Zea mays: one gene and its partners. Each later gene encodes a partner of the first gene's protein in a complex. Links are inferred from orthologs where the notes say so. Each region holds a gene or a part of one and is shown on either strand. Other genes may lie near its edges.

Region 1 (5,507 bases):
TCAAGAAAACCTTATACTAATTGATAGGATGTGTCTCCATATACAAAGGTATGGAGGTAGCGCCTAAGGTTACACTTAATTTGTGGTACAGATGAAGGGTTTCCTTGTGGCCATCCTAGTGAATTAATACATGCGAGTATTTGACTGAGTTTAGCATGCATAACAAGAACTACTCATCGCATCAAATTGACACGCACATGACTCACAAGAAACTAAAATTGAATGTCAATATGGAAAGTAAAATATATTATTAGAGTGGCCAAATCAGGGACATTACCTGAAAAACAGGAACACCATCAAAAGCAGTTAAGCCCGATTTCATCTGGAAAATAAAAAGGGTAATACATGTCACAAGGATGAAGAAACCTTTTTTCTTCGTACTTGAAGAATAATCAAGGGGGTTGTAATGATCTACATATTCTATATGCAAGACTTAGCTTGTTCTACAGACAACAGTATGTGTTACCTAAACTTAACTAAAGACAAAAGTATGTGTTACTTAAACTTTAGATTTACAAATGTGCACTGTGGAGAATCATTGCAGGTCATTAGGCCAACAAGTCCATCCAGGAAAAAGAACAGAAAGATTCACCACCTACCACTATGGTAAGAACTAACACTTCACATGTTCTATGTCCACATGTCTAGGATTCACGCATTATGGTGAAGGACTGAAGGCATACAAAAAACCAGCAGACACGCTGATAGCGTAGTAGTTGAGAAACCAAAGGGGCGGAGCTCTCAACCAGGGTTCAATCCCTCGTGCTGCATGGTTGTGTGCCCACTTCCCTGGTTGAAACAATGTAGTTCCACGGCTGCCAAATAAGCGTGCGCACATGAGGTATTGAGGTTCCTGCCTGTTCCCAGGTTCGGTGGGCCTCTTTTTAAGACTGAAGTCAAGGGGACGTCTCTCCCCTTGATCAACTCTTTTTTTACATACAATAAGCCACAAATGTACAGACCTTGTGACCAAATTATTGGGATTGCTCAAAGTAACAAAAATCTCTTCAAACATATGTTTTCTTTGAAATGTTGGAACATGTTAAACCAATAGCTATGGGTATGCATTTTGCCAAGTCAAACAATTTATGTAGAGTTTCTGCATGCACTAGAGGAATATTGCTAATACACTAGTAATTAAATGATTGGCCACCGTCAAACCATTGCAAGCCAATGATATCCAAGAAGGTCAATATTATGGCATTTAACTACATGATATGGAGAAATGGACACACATGTTTCATCCCTGTATTTGTAATAAAATAACAAGTAATTATTAAAAAAATCATTGCATTGCTGCTTTCAAGAGCATTTGCAGTCTGACTGATGCATCTCAATTATGCTCACATCATAGAGAGAGGAGGGAGTAGAATATAAATAGGTCCATGTACAAGATAATAGAGCAAAGAGCGGGAAAAAAACTATTAAAGAGCAGACCTCCAGTGCATTCTTTATTTGAAGAGGGTCGGGTAAGAACCTAAATGCGATACCTTCAGCCTTTAACATATAGACCTACATAGAAGAGCAAAGTTATGAGGTATATATGTTTGCATTATAAAACATATAATAGAGTCAAGGTTATTAAAATGGTAAAACGTTGGAACGCTCATGGGTGAATTTTTGACTTTTAAACGTTTAAACTTTGTTTAAACGTAGTTTTAAACAACACAGGAAAAATACCAATACATCATAATTTCAGCAATAATATGAAGTTAAATACTAAAATAGAGAGGTTAGTGGCTTACCAAAACTTCACCCATGAGCTGGATTGAACCTCAAAAGTAACTAATAGAATGAGCCCAAAAATAGCTAATGGTCTAAAATGCATAAAGCACTGCGTTTTACAGTTTAGAACGCCAAAACGCTAAAACGTGGTTTCAATCTCTAATTAGAGTTTTGACGTTTAAACGTAGTTTTTATAACACTGAATAGAGTATCAGTCAGGTTCAAGATAAACACAATGTCTATGCATGCACTAAACAACCAAAGCTGCAGTGGCGTCAACCAAGCTTAATGCATCATGAAAGCATGAACAAGATAAGCTAATAAGCAGTGTTATTAAAACTACGTTTAAACGATGTTTGAACTACGTTTAAACGTCAAAACTCTAATTAGAGGTTGAAACCACGTTTTAGCGTTTTGACGTTCTAAACTGTAAAACGCAGTGTTTTATGCATTTTAGACCATTAGCTACTTTTGGGCCCAGTCTATTAGTTACTTTTGAGGTTCAATCCAGCTCATGGGTGAAGTTTTGGTAAGCCACTAATCTCTATATTTTGGTATTTAACTGCATATTATTGTCTGAAATTATGATGTATTGGTATTTTTCCTGTGTTGTTTAAAACTACGTTTAAACAAAGTTTAAACGTTTAAAAGACAAAATTTGACCCATGAGCGTTCCAACGTTTTACCGTTTTAATAACCTTGCTAATAAGTAATTGGCTACCTAAATCATGACAGCGTACACAATTCCTGGCCAATAAGCCTGATAGAACTAGTTTGAAAAGACTCTTTTCGCTGTGCAATTTAGTTAAAAGTCTTACCTCTCACCTTGCTAATAAGTTAAGATACCTAATTACTGGACTGGCTTTCGTACTTCAAAACGAAACATAAAAACCTTACAGAACCCACAATTCAAAGAAAAAAAATGTTCATCAAGTATTGACATGATCAATGACAAGACATACAGAATCAAACCAACCTGATCAAGTGTAAATACAGAATGAAACCAACCTGATCAAGTGTAAATACAGAATGAAACCAACCTGATCAAGTGTAATAGGCACCACTTTTGCCCCCTTGCCTAGCACCGGTTGCCGCGTCCTCACCTAAACCACACAAACCTCCCGAACAATTAGTGAAAAATCCAAAACCGGAGCCCAAAGCAAACAGGTGGCGAGAGAGCGGGGAATACATGCGACAGGAGGGCGTCGGCGTCCTCCGAACGGAAGCAGAGGAGGCCGAGGGAGCGGAGGCCGGTGGCAGGGTCGGAGACAAGCACGAACTCGTTGCTGGAGTTGCAGACAGTGAAGACGGGAGTGCCGGTAAGAGCGCGCGCGACCTCATCGGGCGCGAGAGAGAGAGATAGGGAGGCGCCCTGGGGGCCCGGCGTGCGCGCAGCCGCGGCAGCGAGGGCGGGGCGCGGGACGTTCAGGTGGGAAGCCAAACGGGAGAGGTGGTGCTGTAGGAAGGAGGCGGTGGCTACGAGCGGGTTTGGAAGCGGCGACGCAGCGAAGGGGAAGGGGGTCGGTTCGGACATGGGCGCAGCGGCGAGGGGAAGGGAGGAGCACGTGGAGATGGAGTCCGGTGGCGCCATCGCGTGGGTTGCGGCGGCGGTGGTGGCGTGGCGTGCGAGGCTCCTTATTGGTCGGCGGCGTCGACGAGAACGGCCTGGCGCGGGGGCGATTCGGTTGAGCCCAACCCCAAGTGCAGAGTTGCGGATTGCGGCCCGCTGAAGCTGATATTCAACTGACGTGTATTGGAGTGATTACGAGAGTATCTAAACAATTTGTTGACGCCTTTTCGGAGCGTCAAACACCTAATAAGAACCGTGGCGGTGCTCTCTAGTCAGGCGCGGACGGTCTGCGGCCTGGGACCGGACGGTTCGTGACCTGGCGCAGGGCTAGGGTCTTCTGCCTGACGGCCGGACGGTCCGCGCCCTGGGGGCGGACGATCCGCGCGTACGCAGGGGCGGCGGAAGTCGCCGGCAGCGACCTGGATCTCGCTCCCGGGAGGGACCCCGTCGGGGAGGAGAGATCCTAGGTGATGTCTAGGCTCGGCAGGCCGACCTAGACTCTTCTAATCAGCGTAGAGTCGAAGAGAAGCGGGAATTTAGAGATCGAGAGGCTAAACCTAAACTAGACTAGAACTACTCTTAGGATAAAATGCGAAATAGAAGTGTTTGATTCGATTGATGATGATTACAAATCGGCCGTATATCTCTCTTTTTATAGAGGGGGGCTGGACCCTTTACACGACTAGATTCCGAGCTAATTCCGCGGATCTAGCTAACAAACATAGCACAAAACTCGGAACCCTAATCTACTCTGCGCATGCGCGGACCGTCCGGCCCACAAGCGCGGACTGTGCGGACCGCGGACTGTCCGGCCTCAGGGCCGGACCGTCCGCGTGCTCATTTTGGTGCCAAACATATGCCCTCCTGCCTTTTGGTGGAGCTAGGCAAACCAAAAGCACCTTAGTCCGATGTGATCACATCGGTTTTCTTAAGCATCTTGCCACATACTAGGATGGTACTGCTTGAGGAAACGCCCATTCAAAGCTTTGGGTAAATCCTTGCCTTGCAATGTTTGTAGTAAATAGGTGTTACCAGATATTACCTGTTTTACTTTATAAGGACCTTCCCAGCTTGGCGACCATTTTCCAAACTTCCGGTCTTTATTCCTTAGAGGCAGGATGGTCTTCCACACCAGGTCCCCTACTTAAAATGACTTTGCTTTGACCTTCTTGTTGTAGGCCCTGGCTACCATGATCTTATCCTTTTCTATTGCTCCCAAAGCTATCACCCTCTTGTCGGTCACCTCATCAATATTATCCATCATTGAATTGTAATAATCAGTGATGGTTAGATCATTTTGTCTGGCGAACCTGACAGCATTCAAACTTATTTCCACAGGCAACACTGCTTCCTGCCCATAGACAAGCTCAAAAGGAGACACTTTAGTAGCACTATGTTTAGATATCATGTGAGCCCATAAAGCTTCGGACAAAATCTTATGTCAATGCTTAGGATTATCCAATATCTTCTTTTTTATCAAGTTAATCAATGTCCTATTACTAGACTCGGCCTGTCCATTGGCCTGAGCATAATATGGAGATGAATTAAGCAATTTAATTCTATATAATTCAGCAAACTCACGTACCTTCTTTGACATAAAAGAAGTCCCTTGATCTGTAGTCAAGGTCTGGGGAATGCCGAATCTATGAATAATATGTTCAGTTATGAACTCAATTACCTCCTTGTGCGTCATGTTCTTCAGAGCAACGGCTTCAGTCCATTTGGTGAAATAATCAGTGGCAACTAACACGAACCGATGCCCCTTTGATGATGAAGGATGAATTTCCCCAATAAAGTCTAATCCCCATCCTCTGAAAGGCCAAGGCTTGATGATAGGATGCAATTCGGCTGCAGGGACCAACTGTAGGTCGCCGAATTTTTGACACACTTGGCAACCCTTGTAGTACTTGAAACAATCAGCTATCATATTAGGCCAATAAAAACCAGACCTTCGCAACAGCCACTTCATCTTTGGAGCCGATTGATGGGTACCACAAATTTCTTCATGTACTTCGGCCATGGCTAATATAGCATCATTTGGGCCCAAGCACTTAAGCAGGACGTCGTTGACTGTTCGGCGGTAGAGTTCATCACTCATCAAAACATACTTGAAAGTTGTACGCCGAATGTTCTTATCTGTCCTAACGTTGGGATTTCGTAAATAATTAGTTATGGGCGTCCTCCAATCTCCTGCATCGGCTTCATTATCAGC
Region 2 (5,114 bases), on another chromosome or scaffold:
CTTGTCATAGCGATGGGTATCAGAGTCCATGTTGTTGGGTATGATGTAGTTGGTAACAGATGTAGCAGTCTATATTTTTTAATGCTTGCTGGTACACTAACATATGGAGACATGTCTACAAGAATGATGGCATATATCAAATAGTGGTCTTAAGTATGCCCGATGTCTACGTCATGTACCGAATAGTGGTCTTGAGTATGTCTAGTGTCTATCTCGTGGGAATAGTGCGCATACTTTACTACAATATCAACCAACACATTTAATGTGGTGAACGAGATACCTTTCCAAACCATTAGTAACACAAGTCGTTTGGAGTAGACTTTAACATAGTACGAGTGTTATACCTTTGAGGACTTCCCTACTCTAAGGATAGGCTGCCATATTCTTTGTTCTGTAGGTGCTCCCATACAACTGAGTCGGAGCATTATTTTTCATATGAAGGACCCTAGGACCTGGCTATTAGTCATAACTCTAAGGTCGAGGTCATGAAATATTTAGGGAGGCCTCTATGGGGCCTAGGTGAGCGAGAGAACTCTAGAAGCTTGGGAATGCCTCAAAGTATAGAAAGATCCTGAGGCCTTAGGGGCCCTGGTCATGCCAATTATGATGGACGGGAGTGGCTAGGACAACCTCACGGGTTCAGGGGCTCAAGATGAGGTCCATTAGGGTGGGTCTCTAGGGGCACATGTCTGGAGTTAGTCAGGCTCTCGATTACTTTTATCGAGATCCTTAGAAGGCATCTTCATCTAGAGTGTGACCTTCCCCATGCGCTAATAGAGGTCCCCAAGTCAACCATAGACCTATGAGGCTTGCTGGTGGGCCCAAATTTCTCGTAATACACTTGAGAAAAGAAGACTTATTATCTGTTAGAGAACTACTACATAGTTCAATGATGGCAAGCACCCAATACCTGGTGCACTAAGTGTCGTCATGGTACAACATTACAGTACCATAAGCAACCAAAAGACACGAAGAAAGTTTATGGACAGAGCAAGGAGCATAATCTATAGGCGCATTGATCCTAGGTGTAGCACATAGTCATTTTATAAAGGGCTAGGCCACAAGATGATACCATATGTCCTCTTTAAGTACGATGGTTTGACGAACACATAGGTGAAGAAGAATACAAGCTCAGATATCAACTAAGCGTCATGATCTTCTAGCTCTCCCTTACTATTCGGTTCTCATGAGTTCTAGGCTAGTGGTCCCTAGTTCACCTCTATGTATGACCTCCAACAACGTGCTCTAATTTTTGCCATCTAAAAGAATATTCTCTATCCTTTAGAACACACTCTAGAAAATTTCATCCTCTATATCTTTATCATCTCCAACAACATCCTCTAAATTTCATTCTCTGCAACATTGTCTTTCTTCTCCGACACCCCACCTCCACCGTTGTACTCCATCCATCCACCCAGTATCTCCCATGCCCCTAGATGCGGGTTGAGAAGCACTCCACACGGAGCGCCGTGTCCAGGATCACCTATCTCATCTCCGGCAACACAGAGGATGGACTTGTGCTGCGCCGAGGTGGGGGAGAAGCATAGCAACAAACAAGGGAGGAGTGCGAAGAGAGAAAGATCGAGTTACAGGTCCTATGCGCCTACGTCATCCAAGGTCGTGTTTGTTGCACATCCGGTCGCCGTGCGCCTCGTCGTCCTCTTCTACCGTGGATGCAAGTTGGGAGGTGCTGGCTGATGTGCTACTTTGTCGCGGCGTGCACAGCCGACCTGTAGTCTCTCTACACAAGACGGTGCACATAGCCGACACAACGGAACACTCTACATCTGTTGTGCGCGTTAGTGGTCCGCTACTTTAGCGGGTCCTTTAGCGGACCTTGAGAACGAAAAGCAGATTGCGCACGTTAAATTTAGCGTACAGGAGCATTTACAGAGTCTTGCTCTCGAGAGTCTTGTACGTTTAAATTGACAAGCTAATTTTACGCAAATAAATAACAATTTGGATAGATCCAAACGAGATATTATTATAGCTGACCAGTGTAAGCTAGTTCATGCACACGCAAAAAAATCTCGCGATATACTAGTCCGTCAATCGGTCACACTTGGACGAGAGTGACACACGAGAGATCACGGCAAGTGTGGGAGTCTGGAACCGGGACGCTATAGTAGTAGACTAGGTGGCAGAAAGCTGGAGCCGCCATCTGCCGTGTGCGTTGCACACTTGCGCTCGTAGTCGTAGGTGACTCGTAAGGTTTTTATCCGGTGAGGCCGCAGAGATCGAGCGCTCTCGGCCAACCAAACGTCGTGGGACCGAACATGACAACGCCCTCTACCGCACCAGCGCCACTGGCATCTCTCCTCCGCGTCTCCGCTGCCGCTGTTCCAGTGGCTCGACGACGTCCTAAGAGCCCCGCGGCTGCGGCGGCGGCACGGTGGGAGGGAGGTGGGGGCAGAAGGAGGTGCCGGGCGGCGGTGGTGGAGGAAGCCGGGGTGCTGCTGCCCAAGGAGGGGGAGGGGGAGGGGGAGGGGGAGGAGGCCCCGGACGCGGCGGCGGGGCGCTACGACTGGAGGGAGGAGTGGTACCCGCTGTACCTGGCCAAGGAGGTGCCCGACGACGCGGCGCTCCCGCTCACCGTCTTCGACCGCCAGCTCGTGCTCTGGCGCGACGCCCACGGCGTGCTCCGCTGCCACGAGGACCGGTGCCCTCACAGGTGAGATCCTCCGGCCGGTCCACTCTTGTGTGCGTGCAACGATTGGTTTGGTCGAGAACCAGCAGCTGAAACACGATTAATTGCTCCCAAAATGCTTACCGATCGATCAGGTTAGCGAAGCTATCGGAAGGGCAGATCGTGGACGGCAAGCTGGAGTGCCTCTACCATGGCTGGCAGTTCGACGGCGACGGCAAGTGCGTCAAGATACCACAGGTCTCTCTCTCTCCCACCTTTCTTACTGACGCCCCTACCCTACGCGGCGAGAGCATGGATGGGTGATGTGATGGGTCCGTGCCTGCACTGCAGCTGCCCGAGGGCGCCAAGATCCCGCGCAGCGCGTGCGCGCGCAACTACGAGGTGCGCGACTCGCAGGGCGTGGTGTGGGTGTGGATGTCGGACGCCAACCCTCCCGACGAAGGGAAGCTGCCGTGGTTCGAGCCGTACGCGCGGGCGGGGTTCACGGACCTGTCGACGGTGCACGAGCTCCCCTACGACCACTCCATCCTGCTGGAGAACCTCATGGACCCCGCGCACGTGCCCATCTCCCACGACCGCACCGACTGGACGGCCAAGCGCGAGGACGCGCAGCCGCTCTTCTTCGACGTCACCGAGCGCACGCCCCGCGGCTTCGCGGGCTACTGGGGCCGCACCGGCACGCCGCACCTCCGCAACCTTCTGCGCTTCGAGGCCCCCTGCGTGCTCACCAACACGCTAGAGTTCGCCGACAAGGACGGCAGGGAGCAGTGCTTCTCCGCGCACTTCCTCTGCCGCCCCGCCGGGCAGGGCAAGTCCATGCTCCTCGTGCGCTTCGGCTCCACCCTCAGGTCGCCGCTCGCCAAGGTGCTCCCGTCCTGGTACTTCCACCAGAACGCGTGCAAGGTGTTCGAGCAGGACATGGGGTTCCTGTCGTCGCAGAACGAGGTGCTGCTCCGGGAGAAGCTGCCCACCAGGGAGCTCTACCTCAACCTCCGCTCCTCCGACACCTGGGTCGCCGAGTACAGGAAGTGGATGGACAGGGCGGGCCACGGCATGCCCTACTACTTCGGCCACAGCACCCTGTCGCCGCCGCCCGTGCCGGCCGTCGTGGAGCAGGCGCCCGCAGGGGCCGTCGCGGGGATCTCGGCCTCGTTCCCGGCCAAGGGCGGCGTCGGCATGGTGCACGCGCCCAACCCGACCAACAGGTACTTCCGCCACGTCGTGCACTGCAAGGGTTGCAGGGCAACCGTCAAAAAGTACACCTCGTTGAAGACCGTGTTCGCGGCCCTCGCGGCGGCGGCCCTATCGGCCGCCATCCTGGCGGCGACGAGACAGTGGAAGGCCGTCTTGGTGGCGGCGTCGGCCGTGCTAGCCGCCGCATCCTATGCGTGTGACGCGGTGCTTTCTTTGATCACCACCAACTTCATCAGGACACACAGGAGACTGTAATTAATGTGGTACTGGCCACTGTATATTTAGGTAATGGCCGGCGGGGAACGTTCTGTACATTTGTATCACCGTAGCTGCTGGCCTGCGGCTGTTGTATTTTGTATATTTGCAGTAACGTTTTGCATGTCAGCAGCAACTGATTAGGTTGGTTACCTTACCGGTTAGTTTTTTTACTACTGCAGCACAAACTCAGAATTAGAAGATAATCAACATAGCAAAAGATTTAAGTCCGCAGACACAGCCACCAAGCAATCGATACACAACACGCTCGCACGAAGCATTCTTAAAATTCTCCAGTATATACACAATACAAGCAGCACACGTTCACTGTTAAGATAGTGGCACAATGCCTAAAGTCACATGTTATTAAGTAGACAAACTTGATAACAGTGGGCAAACACCGACTCGGAGCATGTTTTAAAGGCAACATACTTGATAGGATATATTAGCTACCACAGTAGACACGTTTGATGCTCCAGGCTTACCGTGGTTGAACTTAGAATTCCCTGTCGGGAAAGAGGACGGGTGCAACAAGCGACCATATGAACAGACCTGCCGTCGCCCACTGGGTTGCAATCCTGACCCAGACAGATGGCCACCCAACATCCACAAGCTTTCCGCTCTCACCAACCGAAGTTGACCAGCCAGTCAAGAGCATTGCCGAGTACATGCTGGCCAGGGAGAAGATGAGGTGAAAGAAAGAGTAGGAGTATGTCACCGGCCTCGGCACATCCTTCTTATCTTCTTGTTCGTCTGCCTTGCTGAAGGGAAGCAATGGCTTGTCGGTCCCTGGAAGGTAAAAGGGAAAAAGGTATCATAATTAACGATGCAAACCCAATATTTGCAAAACTAGCTCATTAGCCACAGAACGCAATCTAACCACGTGGTGAGTCTGGTGGCGAGAGCACAGTTGCAGAGGAGCCAGCGCGGACAGCAGAATAGACCACAGAGAGGACCGTGGTAAGGAGTCCCAATGTAAGGCTACCAGTTGACACAGCTTTTGAGTGATTGTGAAGCC
Region 3 (4,309 bases), on another chromosome or scaffold:
GGTCTCGCAGAATATCATCCAAGGAGGAGGATTAGCACCTTCCACGAAAGATGAGAACAAAGAACAGTATGATTCCAAGCAAACTACGGTGGCATCGTCTGCTCTCTTTGACACACAAAGTGCTAGAGAAACTAGTGCAAACGATATTTCCTCCCAAAAGGCAACAAGCAAAGCAAAATGCAGGGCAGGTAAGTTCCCAATTTCCTTCTTTCGTTGCATTACCACCTTTCAATTGCTAAGATCATGGCAAGAAATTGATTTACTAAGGCTAATAGCTTTAAAATGCAGACAACAGCGTACCTGGCAAACAGCCACCATGGTTGAGCATGTCAACCTCTGATGCAGACAACAAAACACTGAGCAAGAACGAGAAACAAACTCTCCAAGAGGATACTCAAAGTCTTTCTGATGCTTACTCTCAAGGGTTTGTTCCGAAACTACTGTTGTTTATGATGGTAATTTTGCTATATCTGCAACTAACAAGAGAAAACATTATTTACATCAGGCTTCTAAATAGATTGACACAAGCTCTAAAAAGGTCGGGAGTAGACCCATCTCAAGCTAGTATATCTGTAGAGATCAGTATGGACAGAAGAGCAACAGAACCTAATAATATACATGACAATTTGAAGGTAATAACAGCACATGAAAGTATATCAGCACGTTAATGCTTGCAAAGTTGCTAGACTTATGTCATGGCTTATTCACAGAATCAGCCATTTCTTTACCACTTCTTTTTAACCTTACCTGACAGGATCATGAATGTGAAGATATTATACATGTGACCAAGAAGCTTCGGGGCGAGAGAAGCAAGATCTCCAGCTCAAACTGAAATTCAAACTGTGGCGACAAGCCGACAACAGACCAGGACTTTGTCGACGAAATTGACAATTGATGGAATGCTCTTATTTATATTGAAATCACAATTACTGACCTAAGCCTCCATTCAGGTACAAAGGAAGCTGCTCAGGGGAGGGTAGTCATAAAGCTCCCCAATTCAGACATTCCTCCTCATTTGTAAATGCAATTCAGATTGTAAAACAGTGTACATGTACTGCTCTCTCAAAATTTGTCAATTCAACAAATATGGTAGTATTGCAACGTTTTTGTATCAACCTTCCACAGTACATGCATTCAATCGGCAACTAGACCTATATAAACAGCAAGGCAATTGTAAATTATACTAAGCTTGTGATTTGCTGCAAGCGCCAACGAACCATTGGGATGTTTTCTGCATATCATCAGATTCCCTTTCCATCAACATGGTCCGCAGGAAACGAATTGTAGTCACATCACCTGGCGCTCCGCTGCATCTGCGACAATGGGCAGACGTGGTGTCTTCCCGAGCAGGCAGGCGCCACCGCCGTACACCAAGGAGACGAGCAGGAAGAGGAAGACCGTGCTCTCCATGCTCTGGAAGATCTCGAACCCAACCCCACCGGAGGGCGCGAACGACTGCGCGAGCAGGTCGGGAAAGATGAGCAGCACGTCGAGCACGACGGCCTGCATCGCGTTGAAGCGGACGAAGCGGGAGAACGCCTGCTGGTTCCGCACAACGGCGAAGTAGAGCGTGAGGAAGAGGAGGAAGGGCGTGAGCGGCGATGAGTGGAAGAGCCGAGCCGCGGGGGCCAGCGGGCGGAGCAGCGCGCCGAAGAAGGGGAACTGCGTGAGAAGGAAGCGCCCGTGGTGCGCGCCGTCGAGGAACGGGTATAGGTAGGCGACCGCGGCCACGAGGCGGTCGGGCGCCTCCACGGCCCCGCTGTTGTCGTTTTTGTTGGAGGCGCGCGGCGCGGGGGCCAGGAGCCGACGAGGGGTCGCGTTGTTGGGGGCGGCGAGGAGGACCCGCCGGTGCGGGATGCTGAGGAGGCGGGATGTGCCGTCGCGGTGGAGCAGGCGCGGGGGCGAGAGGAGAAGCGAAACGGCGGATGCCATGTGATCCTCTGCTCGGTGCGGTCGAGGAGTGGAGATTTTTTGGGTGAGTGGCCTTGTGGGGGGCGGCCAAAGCGAGGCGTTTGGGTGAGGGGTTGAGGGCAAGGCAGTGGCGCCGCGCGGCTGCTGGCTGCTTGCCCCCTCCGCGCGGGTGGGAGCCTGGGAGCGGAGATTTTTGTGGAGCTCCGGGGGATGTGGGTAGCCGAGTGGGAGACGAGGAGATTGGTTGGTGGTGCCTGCTTCTGCCTGCCTGCCTGCTTGGTGCAGTGCCAGTGCGGGCCGTGCTGCTGCGGCGTCGCGGGGGAGGAAGGACGGGCGCGTGGGCGACGCGCGGTGAGCCTCACGTGGGCCGCCATGCCGGCCGGCATGCGCTCGCGCCTTGCAGCGTGGCCCGCTGTGGCCCGCCACGGAAAAAATTGGGATTCATCGTTTTGAGAGGATTCGTCTGAATATCATTATAAAACATGTCATCCACGTTATGATATCATTTGATCGTTTAATAAATCGGAAAAGAAATATATATATTATATATATAGCGACATTGAGGGTCAATTTTATAGGGAGACGAACATCAGCGACCAAAGTGAATGCACGAACAACAACAGAGGCAAATCATCCCTCAATGTCTATAATATATTTATTATTTTCATTTTTTAAACAATCAAATGATATTATAGCATATGCGGCATGTTTCATAATAGCAAAGTAGTGATGCCTCTCAAAACGATTTCCACTCCGGGAGAGCTGACCCGGGCGGAATAACCACTCCTACATTTTCCTCATAAAAAAGGACACTCAGTCTATTTGGTTCACGGCTAACTATGTCACAATTTATTTAATATTAATCGTTTGAATTGAAGAACTAAGCTTAGACATAAAAAATAGATAAAACGGTTAACTATGTCATAATTTGTTTAATGTTAATTATTTGAATCGAAGAACTAAGCTTAGACATAAAAAATAGATAAAATATGGTAAGTTGGACAGCAAATCAAACCGCCGTCAAACTTCCACCCTATTTCTTTGCATAACTGCGGCGTCAAAATACTCAGCAAGATACTCACCACCAGGTTACAACGACAGATTGACAGGATCATCGACACTGACCAAATCGGGTTCATTCGAGGCAGATCGATCACAGAGAGCTTCATCTACACTTTTGAACTTGTTCAGACCTGCCACAAAAGGAAAACACCACACCAGTCCTAGTGATCAAATTATACTTTGCCAAGGCTTCGACACCGTGAATTGGGAAGCTCTCTGAAGGACCATGGCAGAGAGAGGCTTCCCTGACCGATGGAGATCCTGGATCGCCGAGATCCTCTCCACCTCAAGCTCTGGAAATCTCCTCCACGGTTGCCTACTTGCCTCGACCCATGGTTCCCATGCAAGAAAGGCCTGAGGCAGAGCGACCCGATCTCACCACTCACCTTACCAGTTCCTGCCAGTGGAAGATGTCCTTCAGGTTCTCATCAAGAAAAACGGGGAAGTCCGCCACCCACTGTCAAATGACAAAACCGGGGGCCGGTAATCCAATATGCAAATATGATACACTCATTGCCACATATGCTTCCCTCTCTAGTGTCACCTAGCTCCGGATGATCCTTGACACTTTTGCCCAAGCAACAGGTCTTTGCATCAACTACGATGAGAGCACCCTTGTTCCCATTCATGTTGACCCACAACATCAAGCCGGTCAATTCACCTCGATCCTGCAGTGCGGTGCCAAGTTGGAAGGCTTCCCCCAAACTTACTTTGGCCTCCCTCTGTCAAGAGCAAACTAGGATAGCATGCAGAAACTCCTCCCGCGTGATCACCACTATGAGAGAGCATCGGGAATGGTAGGACAACTTGCTTCCGCCTTGATGATTAGATGGATAGTGGTCCGATCACAGACAGCTTCCCCTCCCTTGCAAGCCATGCAACGAATATGGAAACCACTGTCAGGCAAGTGCTGCTTGATGGGCTTGGATCAGCACCTCAAACCACGCCTGAGCACAACCTCAAAGACAGGAGCTTGCCACCCTCCAGAACACCCTCCACGACATCTCTCTCACACAACAAAATGATAAAAGACTAAGCCCACTGATTGACATAGAAGGGATCCTAAAAACCGGTATGCTCTACAAGCTGATCAATCAATGACTACCTCCAACTTTGATAATCCAGACTTCGTGTGAAGCTCTTTCTCTCCTAAAGTTTAAGTTCTTTGTGTGGATCCTCATATAAGGAAAGGTTAACCACAAAAAGAACCTTGTCAAGAAAGGGATGATTACCAGCGTCGTGTGTGACCTTGGCTCTGTCAGGCAGATGAAGATTACGACCACATTATCTTCAAGTGTCTGATTGCTTCCTCCTTCTGGCACAACATATATAGGAG

What was found.
Region 2: tic22 (region 1) and Protein TIC 55, chloroplastic-like share a complex: the UniProt entries of both Arabidopsis thaliana proteins name them as parts of the tic complex. The link is inferred for Zea mays from reciprocal best matches to the Arabidopsis thaliana genes Tic22-IV and TIC55-II.
Region 3: tic22 (region 1) and Protein TIC 20-v, chloroplastic share a complex: the UniProt entries of both Arabidopsis thaliana proteins name them as parts of the tic complex. The link is inferred for Zea mays from reciprocal best matches to the Arabidopsis thaliana genes Tic22-IV and Tic20-V.

Annotation. Positions count from the first base shown.
Region 1 is NC_050104.1:9,248,354-9,253,860, reverse strand, and holds the start of tic22, read right to left. Parts: upstream 3,471-5,507; 5' UTR 3,317-3,470; coding exon 2,915-3,316; intron 2,829-2,914; coding exon 2,766-2,828; intron 1,513-2,765; coding exon 1,438-1,512; intron 323-1,437; coding exon 278-322; intron 1-277. UniProt on the Arabidopsis thaliana protein: Involved in protein precursor import into chloroplasts. Imported into the intermembrane space via the Toc translocon. May be involved in the import pathway used by proteins without a cleavable N-terminal pre-sequence.
Region 2 is NC_050100.1:221,690,380-221,695,493, forward strand, and holds Protein TIC 55, chloroplastic-like, read left to right. Parts: upstream 1-2,275; 5' UTR 2,276-2,276; coding exon 2,277-2,671; intron 2,672-2,781; coding exon 2,782-2,884; intron 2,885-2,977; coding exon 2,978-4,096; 3' UTR 4,097-4,219; downstream 4,220-5,114. Other genes in the region: uncharacterized protein LOC100191588 precursor, read right to left, coding at 4,593-4,885, 4,977-5,114. UniProt on the Arabidopsis thaliana protein: Involved in protein precursor import into chloroplasts. Part of the redox regulon consisting of TIC32, TIC 55 and TIC62.
Region 3 is NC_050100.1:212,572,947-212,577,255, reverse strand, and holds Protein TIC 20-v, chloroplastic, read right to left. Parts: upstream 2,063-4,309; 5' UTR 1,933-2,062; coding exon 1,288-1,932; 3' UTR 896-1,287; downstream 1-895. Other genes in the region: uncharacterized protein LOC100279738, read left to right, coding at 11-188, 289-424, 506-632, 755-832; solute carrier family 35 member F2, read right to left, coding at 3,099-3,104, 3,365-3,430, 4,206-4,288. UniProt on the Arabidopsis thaliana protein: May be involved in protein precursor import into chloroplasts. Not redundant with TIC20-I, TIC20-II or TIC20-IV.